Linked DNA regions of Cricetulus griseus. The protein of the gene in region 2 purifies or fractionates together with the protein of the main gene of each other region. This does not show direct contact. Links are inferred from orthologs where the notes say so. Each region holds a gene or a part of one and is shown on either strand. Other genes may lie near its edges.

Region 1 (5,552 bases), on a different chromosome or scaffold from region 2:
ACTATTTTTGTGACTTTTGGCTAAATTTGAAACTATTTCAAAAATAAAAATTAAACCAAAATTAACTGATGAACACTCACAAATGTGGCATCTCACATCTGGCTATTAGCTTACTGGAAATGTGTTTAAAATTATAAGCAGTTAACAACTCACATAGATACCTTGCACACAAATTTTTTTTTCATTAAGTATTTAATTCCCTCATTTAACTTGTACCTCTTATAAAAATGTTGTTCTTAGCCTGGTGTGGTGACTCAAGCCTGGACCTCACAACCCAGGAACTTCAGGAGGGAGAATGGAGTTTCAGTTCAGACTGGACAATATAGCAAAACCCCATCTCAAAAAAATAATTAAATAAAATTTGTCTCAGTTCTGTATTCCAATTCTGAGACCTGATATTAGCTGCTGTATTCATAAAGTTTCCAGAACAATCAACTCTAAAATACATTCCTTCTCCACTTTCACAGTATCACTCCAAGTCTTGCCTTTTCCTAATATAAACTCTAGTCTGTTTCTTCATTCACCCCCACCCCCGCCTTTTTAAAATTACTGGCTTTGCTCTTTTTAAATGAACAAGGCTTAATTTCCTAGGGCACTATATGTATGCAAAAAAATAGACCCACAGTAAATGCTAATGTGTCAGAGGACTGGCCTGTGAGGAACTCGCTCTTTTGTCATCATGATAGCCACCAGCACATTCACTGAGGGCCAGCAGTGCAATGGCACTTTCCTGGCCACTACGAAGGTCCCTCTTCTTCTGGAACTCCATTCAATTTGGTAGCAAAAAGAAGACAACAAACAAGGAAACATGTGGTAATGAATATTAAGAAAAATAATACAAGGTTGTATCTAACCAGATAGTTGTGATGGTGCACACCCTTTTATGCACTCAGGGAGCAGAGACAGACGGATGTGACCATATAAGGGGCAGAACAAGGTATGGGAGAGAAGGGAGGAGAAGGTGAGTGGGGACAGAACCTGAGCACACCAAGTAGCCTTTTAAATTAAAGCCTCCCCCTTTGTTTCTGCTGTTTCTGATATCATGAGGATACTTTAGAATATCATTTTGCTTTTTTTTTTCAAACTTTTAATGTCCTTTTAATTCCTCAATGGCATATCAACCCTAATTGAGTTTCTAGTAATTAAAAATTTCAAATGCAGTACTTCATTTCTCATGAAACTATTAAGTACTTCTGAGTTATTTTAACTTGATATTTCTAAGCTATTAAATAACCCAAGACAGTATTTTATTTTGATATACTTGCTTGGAATCCTTTTGTCAGCAATGCTGTAGTTAGTGAACATTTATCAGACTTTAGTTGCTAATAATGATGCTTTTCTTAAACTACTTATTATATTAAGAGAAGGATACCAGATAGCTTTCACAAAGTAAATATACCTTCAAATGCTGCTATGAGGACAAAATACAAAATGGCCATTCAAACTATGCATAAGTCTTGCAGCTACTAGCCAACCCACTTGAAGTGATGGCCATGGACATCTGTCAACAATACTGGTTGTGGAAATCTGACAGATTTGATGGCCTGGTTATTAAGCAAAATCTTTCCACATCTTGGTCGTTCCGTTAGCTGCCTTGTTAATGAAGGTGCAGAGGTGGGTTAGTGTATTTAGTGGGAGGAGACAGGATTCCTGACTGGCCTTCTACTTCTCTGTTAAATTCCAGGCAAGGTCATGTGCAAAGGATGAGGCTAGGTTAGTTGTGGAACACTGGAAGAGAAAGAAGGCAAAGGCTGGCTTACTGGGGAATGAGAAAATGAATGTTCCACTGAGTGCTGAATGCTACTGTTGGTTCGCTTCCGAGGTGAGGTCTCCACATGAAGGGAAATGTGTTCACTGCTCCTGTTTAACTCACATGGCAGAAAGCTGCTTGAGTGCAGGCACACACTAGTGCAAAGATGTGGCTAGGTGACAGGAAAGGCAGGCTTGCTAATAGTGTCTGCACTATTAGCAAGTGTGAGAGGGAAAGTCATTTTTCTTTGAGGATACGGCATAAGCACAGTGCCCATGCTTCAGAAGATGGCTTCACGCATACTCACATGTACACAGGCAGCACTAACTGGAGCCATTGGCAGGTAAATAAAATAAATTTAAAGTTTGAACGTAACTAAGTGCTTACCTCTATTTCTGTAACTTTCTCAGAAGGATTATCAATTAAGAAACGAGCTAAAGTCCCAGGAGTTGTTCTATAAGTTAAAATGATTGAGTTTTTAGGATCCTGGCACCACTGAATAAAGAGGTCCCTTGAGAATCCACACTCCAGGTCAGGCTGGCTGGCAAGTACAACTTTGGGGCTTGGAACTCGAGCCAAGTCAGAAAGACCATGGCACAGAGAGAGATGGCGAAACTGAAATGGATTATTTCTCTTGTCTTCAAAACATCTCATCAATTTATCACTCATCCATTCTACCTAAGGCAAGGGGGGAAATGACAATAATTAGAAAATGCTATATTGTGAAATATTTAACAATAATCAAAATTTAAGACTCCCCCCGACCCAATTTGTGCCATTTGGACAAGTAGCTAATTGGTCCTTTTTCCCATTAGATTCTCCTGTTCCAGTTTTTAATCCTTAAAAAAACAACAACCCCCCTCCCCAATTTTGTCAAGTGTGGTTTTGCATGCCTTTAATCCCTACGCAGAAGAGATCTGCAGAAGCTGGAGGCTCTGACTTTGGAGCCAGCCTGGTCTATAGAGAATTCCAAAGCCAGGGCTACACAAAGAAACCCTGTCTTGAAAACAACAATTGTGCAGTGTTTCACTGATGTGGGCTTAAATCTTTCTGAGAAGAGAATGTGTTCTAAATGAATATCGGAACCAGGTATCATTGCTTGGAGGGAAAGAATTCATTTTAAGATGAATTCACTGGGCTGTGGTGGCTCATCTTCGGGAGACAGAGGCCATCTCAGTGAGTTCTAGGCCAGCCTGGTCTACAGAGTGAGTTCCAGGACAGCCAGGACTGTTACACAGACCCTGTCTTGAAACTCTGCCCCCACCCAAAAGAATGATGAATTCTAGCATTGATATTTTACTTTTACTCCCATTTTATAGATCAGAAAACCAAGAGTTAGAAAACAAGCAACTTGCTCAACCTGTCAAATGAGGACAAAAACAGAAATCTTAAGCGTAAATGAAGTAACATATGTGAAGAACACAGGACAGTAAACAGTTAACATTCAGCTACTATTATTATCAATTGCAGAAAAATAATATTTGAAGGGCACTACACTTAGCCTCTTTCCTCAATGTCACGGGAGAACAAAGAACAAACCTGTGACTTAGAAAACTCCACCACGTTATAGCTGACGTTATTCAGGAGGGCCAGTGAATAAACACCAAGGCCTGCATCTTTAGTTCTCCAAATCTGATCAAGAAGTTGAGCAAGCTCCAGAACCCTGCCGGCTGTGTCCACTGCTATTAGAACATTTCCATCACCACGGAGAGTTTCCAGAACATTTGCTTAAACAAGATCAGAAGAGCCCCATGAAGCACATGCTTTGCAACAAAACTAAACAGTTTCCAGTGTCTTCTATAAAGACTGCATAAGTAATTACTAGGATACATATAAAAGTATTTGTTCAGATCAACACAATGACTGTTGACTTGGTTATATATATCTTTTTAGGAATAAAACACATGATACATGTTTTGTATGAATGCATGTAGAATAAAACACAGAACATGTAACCTTCCAAGAAGAAAAGCATCTTTGGCAATAGCTGTCAATGTCAGCTTCAAGTGCTGGGTAAAAGCAAACTCTACCCAGTAAACATGCTCACGCATGTATACATACACACACATGAATTGAGGAGCTTCTTAAAAATGCATTGGTAAGCAGACAGATGAGTGTTTGCTCACACGTTTAAAAGTGGAACCCAGCTTTCCTGCTGCCATCACATATGGCTTATAAAAAAATAACACAAAGCACAGCAGAACGAGTCAAAGCAGAAGCAAGAGGTGATGGCACAAAGGCGCCTGAGTAAAATCAAGCTAACTCTATCAGAACAGAACACGAAGCACCCAGCCAGCAGACCTTGTGTGCTTTCAGAGCTCTCTTGGGTTCCCTTTGCTGTTTTTTTTTACCTCTCTCAATATATGCATGTTATACAGAGGCCAGTGAATGCCTGAGGGAGCTATCTATGTGCTGAGCGGTAGAGGAAGCCAGTCTTTAGAGAGTATCTTGACATGGTCACATTAACATTTTTAAAAACAAAACACCACAGGAGTTATGGGCCCAGCAAAATAGCTTAGTGGATTAAAGCGCTTGTCACCAAGCCTGACGACCTGAGTTTGATCCTGAAACCCAGATGGTGGGAGGAGAAAACTAACTTCCTCAAGTTGTCCTCTGACTTCTACATGCACTCTGTGGCAAGCATACACATATGCACGCATTGTACAAATGTATAAAATGTAACTAGAAATTACTCGAGTTAGCAGATCTCTTCTGACAAAGCTAACAGAATAAGCAGGAATGGCTATCCCCACACCCCCACAGCTATTCCTACAGAATACGGATATACGTACTCAAGAGCTGCTCATCTCTCTGTTTCCTTCTAGGCTGCACATACGTAGCATTGAATGAATCTGTGATAAGCAGAGAGGGTCTGCTTAGCATTTCCAGGGAACATCCATTTAAGTGGCTATAAAGATGAAGAATACCTGTCATTTCAAATGAACAGCGATGGCTTCACCTATTACAAAAGTAACTGCTTTTAAAAACACCCCCAACTATAAACATATGCATTCGTGATTTAAAAAAAAAAAAAAAAAAAAAAAAACCTGATAAATTCAAAAAAGTTTAAGGAGGAAAGTAGAAATGTTCCAGAGGACCACCACTTCAAGACAAATGAAATGATATATTGGCCCTATCCTTCTCAACAAACGAATTTTCTTGTGTATCCATATAGGCATTTAGAACACAGATAACCCTGTATATTCTTATATATTCATTTCTATCTTCTGGACTTTCCCCATGACATTAGCATTTTTTCTAAACCTAATTTTTAGAAATTGTAAAAACTTGCTGCCAGGCAATTGTTTGTAGAGAAATGGGCTATATGCAGCCCAGGTGACATCACATTCCTCCGTCCTTAGCCTCCCAATAGCTAGGATTACAGGTTTGCACCAAGGTATTCAGCTCACGACTGTAAAAACTTCCTATTTTACCTGCACCATGATGTATTTATCTGACCATTTATTTTTCCCTGTTTGAGTCTCTTTTTCACCATTTTATCTTTGAAAGACCTCCCAGTCCTCCTGCCTCCTTCTCTTAAGCACTGGGACCACAGGGGTGTGCCACCACACCTAGCTGTATTTTTTACTTCTTTAGGACACATTCCTTGAAATGTATATACAACTAGTGTCAAATGGCTTGCTAGAAAGGCTCAACCACAAAGACTGACAAGCTCAATTCTTCCTAGGAGGCTAACAGTATTTGGAAATAATATAAACATATATAATAACTACATACTATTTTAACATCTCTGTTTTGACTAATGCTGTCCAATTTGCAATTAGTGCATTTTTGATTTCTT
Region 2 (6,004 bases):
TGGCGATGCAGAATTTTCTAAAAGTGAAAAGATACATCTATGAGCTGTCTGTTTAACAAGCCAATCAGGCAGTTCTTATCCCATACAAGAACCAGAAGCACTCACCAGGGCAATCTCAGGATCCACAATTCTCATCACTACCTGTGCTTGTAGCAAAGCATAAGCCAGTTGTGGATTCTGAAGCAACATGTTTCGTGCTTCCTGGGGACTATTCTGGACACAGAGCTGAGAAGATAAGAAAATTCACCTTCAGATTCAATACAAAGAATCTGACTTGAGCCATTTAATCTCATAAACATCATATTCAAGACAATGTCTGAGTTACTAGTGATTTTCTTTTTGAGACAGAGTCTCATGTATCCCATTCTGGTTTTGAACTCACTGTGACTCTTCTGCCTCAGCATCCCAAGTGGTGGGACTAAAGGCACAAAATACCATGCCTGGTGATTTAGCACTGATTTTGACATTGAACAAAAAATCGTGGCTGTGGCAGGCAATCAAAGGCATTTAGAATATGCTAATGTTATCACTTATGGGCAAAACTATAATTTAACATCTACAGGGGGCATAGAAACACAGTAGACTGTTTGGGAAGGTCTGTTTGTATATAAAAATAAATGTGTGTATAAAAAGTGGATGCTACAGTGCCTACAGACTCAACTCCTTAAGCTGGGGGAACTCTGTCCATTAACCTTTGAATAGCTGTTGTCAATTGTGTTTATCATCTAACACCCCCTCCCACCTTCATTTGTTTCATCAGCTCAAACATCTGCTCTGGGGGAAGGCTGGCGACTGCTTTGCTAATAGACTCAGGGGCATCCTCAGGACTGATGGTCTCTCCATAAGGTGACTCAATGACCGGTGCACCAGTTCCAAGGCCTGATTAGGAAGAGAGCACAACAAAGTCAGGAAGGCAAAATAACAACCTAAGTCATTTCAAATGGCTATTTTCCAGGGTGTCTGTGAGCACCAACCAGTAACTTCAGATTCTGGAGCTAGAAATTAAGCCACCTAAAAATCTTTCTGAGAAGGAAAGTGACAGTGTATCTTCTGTTCTTAGGTAACAGCTATGAAAGTGATAATGCTGCTATTGATTTTGTTGGCAAATCACTTCAGAAGAAAAACATTTAAATAGACAAAGATGCTAACTTCAACAGGATTTGTGGAAATGCCTTTAGGCTTTATGAACCTGAAATGTCCCAAAAAGTGGAGACCAACTCCTAAAGAACAGAAAGATTTCTAAAGCCAAGTTGCTTAAATGTACACATCTTTCACTCCAGGCACCCTTGGTTCTAAGAAGCTTTTCCTTCAGCTAACCACCTCAGCATCTTCTAAAGCATAATCCCAAATGAACAACTTGGATCATCTTCTCATCTTCATTAACTTGTAATATATATGGCTTGCATTTATACTCACTTTTCAGTTCTTCTTTGTTCTTTTCACTGGCAGCATTATCCACTCGAAGTGCTCGTCCACTGAATTCACGCCCATTCAAGTTCCGCATGGCACTAAGTGCTGTTTCTTGGTCTTGGTATTCACAGAAGCCATAACCTTTTGGTTTTCCTGTCTCCCTATCATATACCAATCTGAAGAGCAAAACCAAGTATCAGAAACAAATGCTACACACACACACACACACACACACACACACACACACAGGCTTCTTGCTAACATTGGCATGTTCTAATTTAGACCACAGTAAGATACCCTTCTAAGCCAGGCATGGTGGTGCATGCCTTTAATCCCAATGCTCAGGAGGCAGAGGCAGGCAGATTTCTGTGGTTCAAGGTCAGTCTGGCTATACACTGAGTTTCAGGACAGCCAAGCCTGTTACACAGAGGAACCCTGTCTCCAAATCCCCCCAAAAAGACACTCTTCTATTTCTGCTTTTATGTTTTTGAAACATTTTTAATGAAAGAAATTTTCCAAGTAAGACTGGATATGAATTATAAAGCATGTACATTTATCTCAAAATCTGTGGTTTTTAAAGAATCTCCCATGAAGATCTTAAAAGTTCTCACCTGAAACTAACAACAGGCCCAACCTCAGAGAAGATGTCCTTCAGTTGTTCTTCAGTAGCTTCATACGGAATGTTTCCCACTAAGGAACAGATAATACATTAAAATGCTGGTGCAGTAATGGAGCTCTTCAGTAAGCAAGTAAACAGTAGGCTTTCTATTTTTATCAATAAATAGGTAACAAGTTGACTGAACAGTGTTCTCCAAAACGCTTCCACTGTACCTTTTCAGACCCCACAACAGACCCAGAGGCAAAATAAAAAAAGAAGTCTTTCAAACAGTTCTCATATGGATATGACAAATAGGATGTTTTCCCTTACTTTGATGAAAATATATGTTTAAGCACTGGTATTTACTCATAACCCTGTGTTTGACCAGTGACTACTAAAAACATAAAGAGGGTGGGTTCATGTCTGTATTTCCATGTATACACATGCTTATGGAGGGAATAGCCAGGAATATAGTGGAGGGGGGTTAAAAATCATTCTCAACTGTTTTGTCATGTTTCTTTCAAACAGTGCTTCTTGTTCTTTTTGTTTTAAGTCTTATTATATAGTGTGGCCGGCCTTGTTATGTAACCTAGGCTGGCGTTGAATTTGAGGCAATTGTACTGCCCCAAAACGTGCTTTTAAACGTGCACTCAGGAGGCAGAAAAAAAAAAAACCAAAAACAAAGAAAAAAAAACCACCCCCCCCCAAAAGTGCACGCCTTTAACCCCAGCACTTGGGAGGCAGAAAAAACCAACAACAAAAAAAGCGCATGCCTTTAATCCCAGCACTTAGGCAGAAAAAAAGCAACCAACAAAACAAAACCACCACCCCTCCCCCCAAAAGCTTAAGTTTTGTTTTTGTTTTTTTGTTTTTGTTTTTTTTGGTTTTTGGAGACAGGGTTTCTAGGGCTTTAGAGGCTGTCCTGGAACTAGCTCTTGTAGACCGAACTGGTCTCAAACTCAGAGATCCTCCTACCTCTGCCTCCCGTGTGCTGGGATTAAAGACATGTGCCACCAACGCCCGGCAAAAGCACACGTTTTTATTTTTTGGTTTTTCGAGACAGTGTTTCTCTGTGGCTTTTGGAGGCTGTCCTGGAGCTAGCTCTTGTAGACCAGGCTGGTCTCGAACTCACAGAGATCCGCCTGCCTCTGCCTCCCTATTGCTAGGATTAAAGGCGTGCGCCACCAACGCCCTACTAAAAGCGCACGTTTTTAATCCCAGCCCTTGGGAGCCAGAAAAAAAACCAACCCCTGCCCCCAAGGAAAAAAAAAAACAGCAATACACGTGGCACACGCCTTTAATGCCAGCACTCTGGAAGCAGGGACAGGAGGATCTCTGTGAGCTCGAGACCAACCTGGTCTCCAGAGTGAGTTCCAGGACAGCCTCCAAAGCCACACAGAGAAACCCTGTCTCGAAAAAAAAAAAATTAACTCATTTAATTCCTAAGAACTGTTTAGTTTCGCTTCTCTAGAATCTCCCTGAGCTTTCATCAATCAATCATTCATTCATTCATTCGCAACCCACCTCAAGGTGCCCAGGTGGCCGCTACCACTATGGTTGGATGAAACGTTACAAGTAAAAAGCAAGCGATATTAGGCGTTTATGAGAGGGCAGGAAGTGGATATAGGGTCGATGGCTTCAAAATTAAATCTGTATTTTGGGCTAGGAGAAGCAGCACGGAACAGGGGCGCTCTGTTTCCACGCACCTTTTCTCCTAAAAAATAACTGAGAATCATGAAGGGGAAAACAGAGACGACAAACGCTAGGGTCTAGCTCCCTGAACCACACTGCGGAAAACCTCCAATACCTTGGAGCCCAAGTTGGGGGGGGGGGCTCTGTTTGCCCACGAGTACACCAGGCTGCCGCGTCAAAGGACAGCGGGGAAATCGCACGCCCGCCCCGACACCCGCTCCAGCTGGGGACCGCAGGGGACATCCCTCCCTGACTGGAGGCGCCACTAAATTCCTCTCACCGAACACAGAACGCAGAGAACGATCCACCGCAGGGTCTCTAACAGGCAAACCCGCCATGGCTACCCCTGAGGTGGCTTCCGGTGCGCCTAAAACACACTTCCGTGGCAGAGTGAGGCCAGGGCCGAGCGCGCCTCCGTCCGGTGGGAGCCGGAAGCACCTGGACAGAGCCGCCACGGATCTCGTTCCGCGCGTCACGTTGTGGGTTCCCGCCTAGGGTTTTGTTCGGGGGTGGGGCAACAGTCTGCGGGAAGACCTACGGCCCGAGAAAAGGGGCGTGGGTTGCCCGCAGGGGGCCGAGCTATGCTAATTTGAAGTCTCTGCGTTTGCGGTCCTCCTCCTCCGTCATTTTCACTGGTGCACATCCAAACGTTTGTAAGCAGCGCTACAGATGGCTGCCGCAGATTTACCCTGGCAACAGGGAAGTCATTTGCTAACAGCTCTGGCACTGTCATCTTCGTTCTGTCCTACTAGAAATGTGGGGGCCGTCCCCAGTAGCATACATCCTATTACTTTGTTGACGCTTCCCTGTACTGAGGGAGAGCTGAGAGAGGCTGGGGAATGAGAGGACTCTCAAAGTCTAGTACCAGCACTAGTAAGAAAGCCTAGGGGCAGTGTGGCACTGGACATGAGCAGGGGAAGTTTTGGAAGCCATGGAAAATGCCCTTGGCTGTGGTTGTGCACACCTCCTGGGTTAGTACCAGAACAGTTAGCCTGCCACTGGAGTTGGAGGAAATGCAGGGTGGGTTATCCTGAGGGAAATCAGATTAAAAGAACAAGGAAAGGAGTTAATAGCCCTGCCGTCCGAGAAAACCTACCTGGCAAAGTAAGTCCAATGTAGTAAAATAGGCACAGACTTGGAGGCATGGGTTTAAAAATGCCAATTCCATGAGCTGGGTATGTGGCCCATCGGTAGAGTGCTTACAAACCATGCATTAAATCCCCAGAAAAACATACATCCTGTATCAGAAGAGTCTGTGCTTTAAAAATGAGGAATAGAACACACAACACGCACACACACAGAGGAACATGTCTCGAGTAACTCTGGTAAAGAGGAAAGTTGGCAAGTATCACCGATTGAATTTCCAATCACTATGTGACCTATAGGATCTTTTATATAATAGAATTGTTTGGAGCTTGATATTTACAGCTCTGTAAAAGGCACAGATTGACAATTTTGGTGCATCACAGTTCAATGTAGTGAATTTTCACTAAATGAATGTATGGCTAAGTAGATTTCTCACCTAACGTTTCAAAATTCATACAGACAAAAGATTTAGTTGGGGTACTTAACTAAAAATAGGGGTTCTTGGACCTCTACTCCAATCTACATATAGGGTGAGATTTTACACAAGGAATGAGAGAATTATTTTTTCTATGAGTGCCTCTGGTGGTTCTCTGGCCATGCAATTTGGGAAACGTAGTTAATGAAGTAGTTTTGTGACAACATTTGGTGCAGCCATACATTCTTTTTTTATCTGTGATTTTTCTTAAGTAATAGCGGGGCAGCTCTTCTAGTAGGCCTAGAAAATTTTGCTCAGCTTTACCCCTTGTGAGTGAGGAGGCTTGGAAACGGAGTGGAGTGGTTTTGGTTGCTGGATGACTAGCGAAACAGTATGACTGCAAGAAGATGCAGAAACAAGAAACATACTGTCATATCTAGAGTGCTACTCAATGAACTCCTCACTCTACCAGATGCCAATGTTTCTATCAGCTATAGTGGAGAAAACAGACCCTGGCTCTAACATCCATGTTGTGTGGTCAGTTTTGCATGGGTAACTTCTACTTTAGCTCTCTCACAACTATGCAGCTAATTCCAATAAAAGCTGACATTTGTAGGTGGAAAGTTTCTACACCCCGATAAGCATCTCTGCCAATGCAGTAATCCTAATCAGACCAAATCAAACTGAATTAGAAAAAGCCACGTTTAATGGATGCAACGCTCCCAGATGGCCTTCCAGTCCCCAAGCAGGGATGGGGGAAGACCGGAAAACCAGGTCTACTTTCTGAGAGGCAGTTTAAATAC
Region 3 (5,552 bases), on a different chromosome or scaffold from region 2:
AAGACTAATTTAAAAATATGATCATATAGTGTTATAAGAAAGACCTTTTGTAGCTATTTTATACTGATGCAGTAAAAACAATATTAATAGAGTAGAGATTACTTTTAGGGATTGGGGCAGAGTAAAGGGTTATACAAAGGGTCACAGAAGGGGATTTTTTCAGAGGTGGTGGAAATGCTTTACTTCTTTATTTGCTTCTTGAGGCAGAATCTTATATAGTGCAGGTTATCCTTAAACTCACTATATAGTCCTGATCCTTCTGTCTCCACTTCCTAAATACTGAGATTACAAGTGTTAGCCATCATGCCCAGTAGTGTTTTGTATAGAAGGTCTCATGATCTAATAAGACATAAGAACAATGAATGTCATTGTGTGTGATTTAAATGTTTGCTGTATTAAGTCAGAGTATGATGGTGAAAAAGAGACTTAGAAGGTTACTCACCAAGGTGGGGTCAATGTCCTCAATTGCCAGAAGCCTGTTATATATACTGTGAACCTTCTCATACTTCATGCGACTCTAGGAGGCAGAGAAGTGAATATAAGTATATACTCACTAATGAACAGATATAAGCTTTAAGGAGCCCGAAGCCTATACTCCTGTTCCCACAAGACACAATGGCACCTATATTGCACATAAATTTATATGAACTTGAGGACTAACAACTGTTTACTGTCACCATCTCTGGCTACAAAACAAAGAAGCTGCTCCCCTGTCCCTCCAAAAAACAACTTAGTCCTTCAGTAAAACTGTAAGCACTAGATGCAATCCCTGTATACAGCAGGCTCAGGGAGAAGCATGAGTTTGAGGCCAGCATGGGACGGACACACACACACACACACACACACACATACAGAGTTCCAAACCTTCTGAGTCTTCTCACCTCTTCATAATCTGCATATGCAAAATAAAGGAGCATGTTCTTCTTTAATAAAGTGCTTATGGCTCTTTCATATATGTTAGCAGCTTCATCACTAAATAATTTGGCATTGTTCATATCCTAAGAGGAAAAAGGAAGCACATCCTCAATAACTTCAATGTAGTTGAAAGACTAAAAATACACATTTGCATTAAAAAAAATTACCAAGGATTTATTCCTGCTCTGAGCAGAGAAGTTTTTAGGGCTTGAGCCCAGGGGCCTCTACCACACAGTTATCCACTCCAGCACCCGTTACTTAGGAGAACTATAGGAGAACCATTTAAGTTCTTTAAATGATATAGCACTTTGATAAAATTTTAAAAGCAATCATATTTTAATTCTAAGGAAATATAATCATGAGTATTACTAAAATTAATACTGACATAAGCTTAAAATTTTCAACAGATACTTTTCATATACAAACTTTTAGTAAATTTAGCATATGAGTTTTAATATGACATTTTCATATATATACACCACTGTATTTCCTGAGATTATACCCAATACCTTGTCTCGTCTCTCTGCCACACTTCCCAAATAGCTCCCCTTCTGCTATATTTAATGTTATGTGTTGGTATATGTGTATGGGTATGTGTTTAAACCTAGATAATACTTATGCTTTTTTACTAAAATTGATGTTATATTTTTTCAGTAGATCTTATTGCTAGAGCAAAGTCACAAAGGTAAAAAGAGGATGGGGAAGGATACGCACCCCCTTTTCCGCAAGCAGCTTACTTGACTGTTCCAGATACTGGGCAGCTTCGTACCAAATATCAGGGTGATGGCCCAGCACAAGCAGGCACTGTTCATAAGCAAACATAACTAAGGGAAGACAAGCACAAAACAATTAAGATAAACAGCACTAACAACATTATCACAAGCACACATGAAATTATTAGACTCAGACATGATCTTTAACAATGAATGATTTGAAATAAAAAAGTAACCTCTGATGCCATCATCCAGAGGCTGATTTGTTCACTATTTACCAAATTACTATCTATTGGGACAACTAGATGCTGGAAAGAAAGGCACAAAAGTGAACGGTGGGGGGGGGGATTTGGCAGATGGGGGTGGGGGTGGGGGGAGTGGTAGGGGAGAAGGGGAGGGAGTGGGAACTGGGATTGACATGTAAAACAATCTTGTTTCTAATTCAAATAAAAGAAAAAGAAAAAAAGAAGTGAACATGGCTGCCAACATTCAAGAAGGATGTAGTCTACACAGGACAGTAAAAGCAAACATAAAAAACCACCATACATGTACACACACAGACACACATGTTGGAAGAAAGAAAGCCTAAGTAATTTCATTGAGTGACTGGCATCTGGAGACCAAAGCAGCAGAAGTTGGTCAATGAGAATTAAGTGAGACAGATGGAAGGGAGGGTACACATTGGCAGAGGCTGCCAAGGATGTGACTCAGTGGTAGAATTCCTATCTGCCATACATGTGGTTCTGGGTTTGAACCAGTGCCCCAAAATAGATACAGGCAAAGAAACAGTATAAAGTCATGTAGGTGAGTGAGCCTACAAAATTAAGAATTCAGTGAAATTCCAATCCATCAGTAATAGTAATTTGTATAAATCTAACTCTTCTGAAATTAATATAAACTGAAGACAGAAGGTATATCTCTATGGTAGAGCATATGCTTAGTATGAACAAATGTACAAGGCCTTTGGTTCAATTCCTGATACTTCTCTATCTCCATGTGTGTATGTTTTTGTGTGCACATGTTATATATGTAAAATGAAATAAACCACCCCCCCAAACTGCAAAATGAAGCAGAAATCAAAGTAGATTGATTGTCCAGGGGCAATGGTGAGATTCACATTATACAAAGTCCAAATGGATAATAAATAATTGAACTTCCTATTAAATAAAACTCAGTATTCTTCAGAGAAGACCAAAGAATCCAGTCTTTATAATCTATTATTTGTACATTTATAAAATGTTAAAAAATTTAACTGTTTGTTTATATAGGTTACAAAACATGAAAATGTGACCAACTGTCAAATGTCAAAGGAAACCAATCCCATGATGGTCCACTGCCTTTAGGAATTAGTAAATGAGGACTTTGCAGCTATTGTAATAACCACATTCGTGAATCTAAAGAAGACACATTACAGGAGCTGGAAAGATGGCTCAGCGGTTAAGAGCACTTGTTCTTGCACATAACCTGGGTTTGATTCTCAGCACCCACATGGTAGCTCATAATTATCTGTAACTGCAGTTCCAGAGGATCCAATGACTTCTTCAAGTCTCTTTGGGCACCAGGCATGTAAGCGGTATGCAAGACATTCATGCAGTCAAAACATCCATATACACAAACAATTAAAAATTAAAATATACAGACATACACACAAACACAACTACATTGTAACACATGAAACTCAATAGAGTAATTAAAATTATAAAAAAATTAAATGGAAATTTATAGAACTAAAAAATACAGTATATATAATGAACAATTTGCTATATTAGCTCAACAGCAGATTAGATACAATAAAACTAGGACTATGTGAACATGAAGATAGATCTGTAGACATGATTATGAATGAAAAAACACAAGTGGAAAAACAAAAGATTTAGGAATAAAAATCAAAGCCTCATCTGGGCATGGTAGCACATTCCTGTGACTTAGGAAGTTAAGACAGATCATGAGTTGGAGGTCAGCCAAGGCTACATAGTGAGCTTGAAGCCAACCTAACCTGCAGAGTAAAGAGCCTGGAGTGGTGGGTGGCAGAAGCAGGAGCAGAGCTTGAGGCAATCCATGAGGTTAAAATCAAACAGTCCAAGACACATGTAGTTGGAGTCCCACGAGGGCTACTCTTGTTACCTCTTTTGGTTATAAGGGTCTGGTCCTCTGTTCGAAGAGGGTTACTCTTCTCCCACTGGATGTACTTCTTCCACATGTCTACTTGCTGAGCTTCTTGAGGAGTATTCTGAGGAGGCACTGAAGGAGCATTGCGATCCAAGCCTTTCATTACTGTCTCATATTCCTAAACAAACATTTAGAAATGTTTGATGAGCCTAGAACAACTCAGATATAAGGGGGGGAAGGTTGATAAGTCTAAAATACTTTGTTTAAAATGTTTACTCTCCTCTACCTAATATCACTTTGTTAATATGATTTTAGAATTCAAGATTATCTTCAGATACATAGTGAGTTTAAGGTCAACATTGGCTACATGAGACCCTATTAGAAAAAAAACAGATATCCAAGCAACAACATCCAAAACCAACCAACTAAAACAAAACCCGAGTAAGGAAAGACACAACACAGTATTACCAACCAATACCAGATCCTAGGAGTGATAAACAGAATAGCCATGAGCTATCTCTACAGGCAGTGGAGGAGGGTCACTCTGCAGGATGTATGATGAAAGAGGTAACACGAGTGGAGATTCGGTAGAATTGTTATTGTCACCTCTGGAGAAGCTAATAGTTTGCACTATTTGGCTACTTTTCCAATGAATAGAAAAGGTATGTACAGAGCCCAAAATCTGTCTCAAAGAGTTATGTTATTTCATAACCACACTCTGACTACAGAGTAATACAATATTCAGATAAGCAAATATGAAAGAAGGATATCAACTACTTCAGTTATTTTATGTAAAATTTCTGTTTGGAAAAATATTTCTGGCCAGGCATGGTAGCTCATGCTTATAATTCCAGCACTTGGGAAGATGACACAGGAAGAGTGCCATTAATTTGAGGGTAGCTGAGTTACAAAGTACCAGGCTAGTCAGTACTACATAGCAAGACTCTACTTCATAAACAAACTCTACTTCATCAACAATCAGAAAAAAAAAACAAAAAAAAACAAAACAAACAAACAAACAAAAAAACAACTTGTTGGATTGGGATGTAACTCAGTAGTAGAATACTTCCTAATATGTGTGAATCCCCAGGTTAGCTGATGCCCCATTACAAATATACACATTGGATTAGTGCTGTCCAGTAACATCCACAGACTCACTGGGTCTGATCTCACAGACTCATTATTTGATGCCCAGTAACAAACAAACACACACACACACACACACACACACACACACACACACACACACACACACACACACACGAAAAAAATTTCTTCCAAATCCAACTTACATTCTGTCATTTAACATAACCTAAAGAACTATTTCAATTGAACTATATCATCTTGCCTGGTCTTTGATCCCAGCACTCAGGAGGCAAAGGCAAATTGATCTTTCTAAATAATACCAGCCTGGTTTGCTTAATGAGTTCCAGGACAGCCATTGCTACAAAAAACAAAATTGAAAACATCCAGAGTAAACCAGGCAGTGGTGGCTCATGCCTTTGATCCCAGTACTTGGGAGGCAGAGGCAGGCAGATATCTGTGAGTTTGAGGCCAGCCTGGTCTCAGATCGACCAGGCAGGTTCCAAAGCTATACAGAGAAATACTATCTCAATAAGAAAAAAAAAAAAAAAAAAAAAAAAAAAACAACAACAAAAGAAAGCAAGAAAATACCAAGAATAAAATTACATAGAAAATCTTTGCTAATTATTTTAATGACTCAATAATATTAAATTAAGTAGCCTGACAGAATTTCATACCTTTGCTACACGTCTAGCATTCATGTAGTCTCTACTCCGATCTTCAATCATTTTT
Region 4 (5,552 bases), on a different chromosome or scaffold from region 2:
CATGCGGGGTGACAGGGTGACAATGAGGCCCTCCACAAACTTGATGGCATGTGTACGGATGCCATCGTTGTCGGAATCCAAGAGTAGGATGATTTCCCCAGCCATGGAGGACACCATGTCCCAGCAGGCCTCCTGGAGATCGTTGATGACCCGAGACTTCACCATCCACTGCCGAGGGGTCAGGAATAGAAAAGACAGACAGCGAAGACAACACATCACCGTGAGCAGGATCCGCCCCCCACCTGCAGACTGAATGACTGTGAGCACATTCACTTAGTTAAACCAACAGCTATGCTCAGTACTGGGCAAGGCTAGGATGGGGGCAACCAAGACACAGCTAAGCCAGTGATGAAGTATCAGACCTCAAGACACAGGAGCAGTCACCTCAGAGGGGTCAGCAGGGCTCAAGAGATAGGGGAGCAGTTAAAGAGTATGGGCTGCTCTTGCAGAGAGCCCAGGTTGCATTCCCATACCCACATGGCATCTCTCCCTGTCTGCTACTGCAGTTCCAGAAGATCTGATGTTCTCTTCTGGCCTCTACAGGCACTGTACACACACTGCATAGACATGTACGCAGACAAAGCACCCTATACCACTCCCCAAAAAAGCAGCAGTGACTGACTGGCTTCATTTTGCTAACAATGAATGGCCCAACCAATAAACTCACTCCTGTGTCATCAAATAACAACTGAGAACTCGTGTGATTCTCCTTTTCAAAGATGTTTATTTTTATGTGTATGGGTGTTTTGTCTGCATATATCTGTGCAACACATGTATGCAGTACCCGAGGAAGTCAGAAGAGAGCATCGGATGACCTGAAATTGGATGGGCATTGGTGGCACACGCCTTTAATCCCAGTACTCGGGAGGCAGAGGCAGGTGGATCTCTGTGAGTTCGAGACCAGCCTGGTCTACAAGAGCGAGTTCCAGGACAGCCTCCAAAGCCACAGAGAAACCCTGTCTCGAAAGCCCCCCACCCCCCACCCCCAAAAAAGAAAGAAATTGGAGTTACAGATGGTTACGAGAGACCATGTGGAAGTGAACCCGGGCCCTCTGGAAGAACAAGCATTCCCAACAGCTTGGCCATCTCTGTAGATTTGTGGTCCTTTTTAAAAAACTGCTATTATTTCTGCAGTCCAAGGTGGCCTTGAACTCTTTCTGCCCTAGCCTTACACATGCTAGGTTGGCAGGTGAGCAACCCACACCTGGCTGCCCTGCATCCCTCACTGAGCTAGCACTGCATCTAGAATCTTGGTCCTGGCCATCCCCTGAACCACCTGTCAGGGCTTGAGAGTGGACATTCTTGGGGAATGTCTGTGGAATACATAAATGAGTGGACCCAAACATTAGATGCCTTGCTGTCTGTTCTCACAACAGCAGCAGATTCACTTATGACAAGCTTATGCTTGCCACGACTGGCAACACAGGCCATAACCCAGCAAAAGGAGGAAGTGTGGGCAGGGAGAGGGAAATTCAAGGTTTCTCTGGGCAACTCAGCCTTGACCTCGACCCCTGGCATGGCTTGGACTGTAAGGAAGGCCACCCCGGCTGGGAAGGCCCAGCTGCGCTGCTCACCTGCAGGGCCACCTTGTAGAGCTGCGTCATGGTGAGGATGGCTTTCTTTACCACGTTCACATTTTCGTCCCGCAGGAGCATGTTGAGGTTGGCGATCAGTTTTAGCAGCAGCTCAATGTCCCGCTTGCTGGGGATGGAAGAGAAGGGGACAGGTAATGCTGGCCTTGGGGTAGGGAATAGGGACTCAGGCCTGTGAATCAAGAGACTGAGGTGGAGGTGGGGACTCTTTATGGTCAGTACTCCCCGTAGTGTCGGATGATGGCGACACCTCACTGTACCACAGCTGGCCCTGCGGCCTTCACTCCCGCAACTCTGTAGGGTCCAGCTGTCTAAGTAAGGGACAGCCAACAATTGTTTGAAGTTTGAGCAGGCCATCATCTTTTTCTCTGAGACAGAGTCTCAGCCCCAGCTTGGCCTCTAACTATCTAACAGCTGAGGATGACCTTGGGCTCCAGATGCTCCTGCCTCCACACCTCCTGTGCTAGGATTTGTAAGTGTGTACCACCACACAGATTTCTAAAGTGCTGGGGATGGAACCCAAGGCTCTGTGCATGCTCGGCAAGCATTCTAACGGAGCCACATCCCTAGCCCCATTCCTTATCTTACTTGGAGAACACCCACAGCACAGGTGGTAAAAACAGCCACCAAAACCACCGAGCGTGCAATGAAAGGACTTAGGAAAACACCTAGTTTTGTTTACTCAGGCCTGAAGGCTCCCACATCAGGGACCCTTTGGTAGGGCTAAGAACTGGCAGGGTCACTTTGGCTGCCAGAAAGAATCAAAGGCCTCCAGTGACGTCTGGCCAAGGAACAAAGCAATCTGAGAAGGCCCGCCCCCGGAGCGCAACACGTTAATGGGATTCTTTTCACAATGTACGTTCCGTTCTGATTCCAAGCACCAGTTACACCGTTCAAAAAACATGAAACACCAAAGAAAGAGAGGAAGGAAGGAAGGAAGGAAGGAAGGAAGGAAGGAAGGAGGGAAGGAAGGAGGGAAGGAAAAGAGAAGACAAAAAAATGGTGGGCTGGAGAGATGGCTCAGTGTTTAAGAGCACTGGCTGTAGGCCTGGGTTACGTGAGACCCTGTCTAGACAAAAATAAAATAAAATAAAATAAAATAAAATAAAACTTGAGTGTCAAATTCTGGAAGACAGGGCATTACACAGTTTTGCTCACTGGACACATCTGTTACACAATTTTTTGCGAACTCCTAAAATTTAGTACAGCTGGATGTGGTATGCCACAATCTCAGCACCTGGGAGGCTGAGAGGGAGGAGGACTGCCCCAAGTTCAAGGCCACAGTAAGAACCTGTCTCTAGCAAACAACATGAAAAACTATCACCAATGTTCCCAGTAAAGAGGCGAGTGTGCCAATGTGGGGCAATGGGGTCAGAGACACAGAGTAAAGTATCCTAGGTCTGCCAAGTTCGGCCAAGTGAACTCGGGGAAAACCCACCGGACCCTCCAAATCACCTCAAAGCCTCATGATGAAGGTTGAATAACAAATAAGTCAACAAGACTCAATAGCTCCTGGCAGGCTAGCAGGGTAACAAAAAGAGCTATTTTATCTCCTCCCCCTTGCAGAGCCAAACGTGAATAGAGAAAGGAACCAGCTACTTCCCATTCTGAATCTCAGAGAGGGTGACTGGCTATCCAGGGCTGCTGTGGAGATCAAAGGCAAGAGGGGTCAAGCCATTACTAGATGTCCTTGCTTGTTCAACACCTACACTGTCACCACTGTTAGAACCAATCTTGTTTGAGGAAACACTGGGATATGGAGGCCCTGCTGTGAAGCCACCATTTATTTTTTGGTGAATTACCCAGGCAATTTCAAGCAGTGTGGAGCACCACAAAAAAAACAGCGACAGTGAAGACAGGAGTCAAAGGGAATGCTCAGGCAAGGTTTTCTGAGGAACCTGGAGAAGTGATGGAATGGCCCCAGGTCAGGCAGAAGCAGACTGGCTAGGAAGGACACTGGCGTTTTGTGAGGAGCAGAGGGAGATGGGGTCAGGCGAGTGCTCGGAGGACCGGCAGGAGTGTAGGAGAGGCACAGTAAGATGCCATATCCGCTCAGCAGATGGCCTAGCTACGCGCAGAGGTTGGTGAGGGTATGACTTCCCTCTGCAGATGGTTCCCAACTAGACTATGAGGCCAGGGACTGGGAGCAAACCTCCCATTCCAGAAACAGGAGACAGGGACAGGAGGACCAGAAATTCAAGGTTTTATCCTCTGCTACAAAGTAGCTCCAGGCCAGCCTGAGCTGCATCAGTTCTTGTCTAAAGCAAATCAAGAACTACAGAGTGACTGTACTAATCAGCACTTATGACTGTTTTAACATGGTCCGGGGTGGAGGGACGGCTCAGCAGTCGGCTCCTGAGAACCTGAGTTCACCTCCCAGTACCATATCACATCAGCCTGGTTCAGGAGTAGCCACAGCGGAGACTGAGATGGCAAGCAGCAAGCAGCGGCTGCCTGTGTTCTGAAAGGAGAACCGCCACTTCAACCAACAAAGCAGCCATGAAGTGTTGCTTCAAGGGCAGGGGCTGTGTGGCGGGGGAGGAACTCTGGGGACATGCGCCAGGCCCCCAGGACTCTAAAGAGGCGCGTACCATGCCTCCTCGATGAAGCCTATGACGAACTTGCGCACCTCGATGGACTTGTCTGCTTGGAAAGCGATGATCTCCTGTGATGTCGGAAGGGAGATGGCTTAGCCACACCAAGGAGCATCACCTCACCTTTATCCCACCCCAGGGCCATCACTCACATCCAAGAAGTTGTCGAGCAGGGTGGGGTCTTTGTTGATGATCAGCTCCTGGACCTAGGAGATTGGGGGAGGAAGAACAGACCTGGAACCAGGCTCCAAAGCCAGGCACGGTGGCTCTTCTTCATAGTCCCTGTACTTGGGAGGCTGAGGCAGGATTGTCATGCTATCAAGGCAGTCTATACTATGGACTCTATCTAAAAAAACTAAAAATAAGGGCCATCAGGATGGCTTAGGGGGTAAAGTGCTAGCCACCCATGCCTCAAGATCTAAACAGACTCTCTGGGAGCCTCTTGGTAGAAAGATTTCCAGCAAGTTGCCCCGATACCCACGTGCTGTGCAGGCATACCTGAGGCAAAGAGTATAAAAGTATGGGACGTGGAGATGGCTCGGTGGGTAAACACTCCCTCCACAAGCCCCAGGGCATTTTGGATCTCTGAAGCAACACAGCCAAAGTCCCAGCACTTTGGAGACAGAGGCAGGATCCCAGGGCAACCTGGCAGGCTAGACTAATGGCTCAGCAGGCTTTGGGGTCTACTGAGAGACCCTGCCTCAACCAAGCAGACAGTGACTAAGAAACACACATGTCAACACATACATGTGTGCACACATGCCTGTACCTCACACCAAGCAACCAGGCACCTCCATCCATGTGAACAAGCATACATGCACACCAGACATACCAGGAAAATAAAAAAATAAGTGCCTAATTTAAAGATAGGGTCTGGAGAGAGGGCTCAGCAGTTAAGAGCACTGGCTGCTCTTCCAGAGGACTAGAGAGAGAGCTGAGTCTGGTGGCACAGGCCTACAATCCAAGCTACTTGAAGAGACAGGAAGATTATAAGTTCAGCAGCCACCAAGGCTGCAGGGCGGGTTCAGGCCAGTTTGAAAAACACAGTAAGAATACTTCTCAAAATAAAAGTAAACCAGCTGTGGGGGTACACACCTCTAATCCCAGCACTTGGGCAGGGGCAGGGGCAAAGGCAAGGGCAGAGGCAGGTGGATTGCTGTGATTTTGAGGCAAGCCTGATTTACACATTGAGCTCTAAAATGCCGGGACTACATAGAGAGACCCTGCCTCAAATAAATAAATAAACAAACAAACAAATAAATAAAGCCCAAATGAATGAATGAATGAATGAATTTGAATGAACAGTAAGAGGGCCAAAAATGTAGCTCAACAATAGACTGCTTGCCTGGCAAGCCAAGGCTCTAGG

Evidence for each region.
Region 1: the proteins of Cstf2 (region 2) and Cpsf2 purify together in Homo sapiens (affinity purification with western blotting; 3 studies listed by BioGRID and IntAct, with this or other methods). This does not show direct contact. The link is inferred for Cricetulus griseus from reciprocal best matches to the Homo sapiens genes CSTF2 and CPSF2.
Region 3: the proteins of Cstf2 (region 2) and Cstf3 fractionate together in Homo sapiens (co-fractionation; 4 studies listed by BioGRID and IntAct, with this or other methods). This does not show direct contact. The link is inferred for Cricetulus griseus from reciprocal best matches to the Homo sapiens genes CSTF2 and CSTF3.
Region 4: the proteins of Cstf2 (region 2) and Sympk purify together in Homo sapiens (affinity purification with mass spectrometry; 4 studies listed by BioGRID and IntAct, with this or other methods). This does not show direct contact. The link is inferred for Cricetulus griseus from reciprocal best matches to the Homo sapiens genes CSTF2 and SYMPK.

What each region holds. Positions count from the first base shown.
Region 1 is NC_048598.1:104,041,170-104,046,721, forward strand, and holds part of Cpsf2 (cleavage and polyadenylation specificity factor subunit 2), read right to left. Parts: intron 4,659-5,552; coding exon 4,543-4,658; intron 3,478-4,542; coding exon 3,290-3,477; intron 2,429-3,289; coding exon 2,138-2,428; intron 1-2,137. UniProt on the Homo sapiens protein: Component of the cleavage and polyadenylation specificity factor (CPSF) complex that play a key role in pre-mRNA 3'-end formation, recognizing the AAUAAA signal sequence and interacting with poly(A) polymerase and other factors to bring about cleavage and poly(A) addition.
Region 2 is NC_048604.1:46,067,220-46,073,223, forward strand, and holds the start of Cstf2 (cleavage stimulation factor subunit 2), read right to left. Parts: upstream 4,146-6,004; 5' UTR 4,039-4,145; coding exon 3,981-4,038; intron 2,101-3,980; coding exon 2,022-2,100; intron 1,587-2,021; coding exon 1,417-1,586; intron 880-1,416; coding exon 743-879; intron 226-742; coding exon 106-225; intron 18-105; coding exon 1-17. UniProt on the Homo sapiens protein: One of the multiple factors required for polyadenylation and 3'-end cleavage of mammalian pre-mRNAs. This subunit is directly involved in the binding to pre-mRNAs.
Region 3 is NC_048599.1:73,016,786-73,022,337, forward strand, and holds part of Cstf3 (cleavage stimulation factor subunit 3), read right to left. Parts: coding exon 5,498-5,552; intron 3,916-5,497; coding exon 3,753-3,915; intron 1,740-3,752; coding exon 1,630-1,739; intron 999-1,629; coding exon 882-998; intron 518-881; coding exon 443-517; intron 1-442. UniProt on the Homo sapiens protein: One of the multiple factors required for polyadenylation and 3'-end cleavage of mammalian pre-mRNAs.
Region 4 is NC_048602.1:28,335,699-28,341,250, forward strand, and holds part of Sympk (symplekin), read right to left. Parts: intron 4,393-5,552; coding exon 4,339-4,392; intron 4,258-4,338; coding exon 4,184-4,257; intron 1,738-4,183; coding exon 1,575-1,737; intron 169-1,574; coding exon 1-168. UniProt on the Homo sapiens protein: Scaffold protein that functions as a component of a multimolecular complex involved in histone mRNA 3'-end processing. Specific component of the tight junction (TJ) plaque, but might not be an exclusively junctional component. May have a house-keeping rule.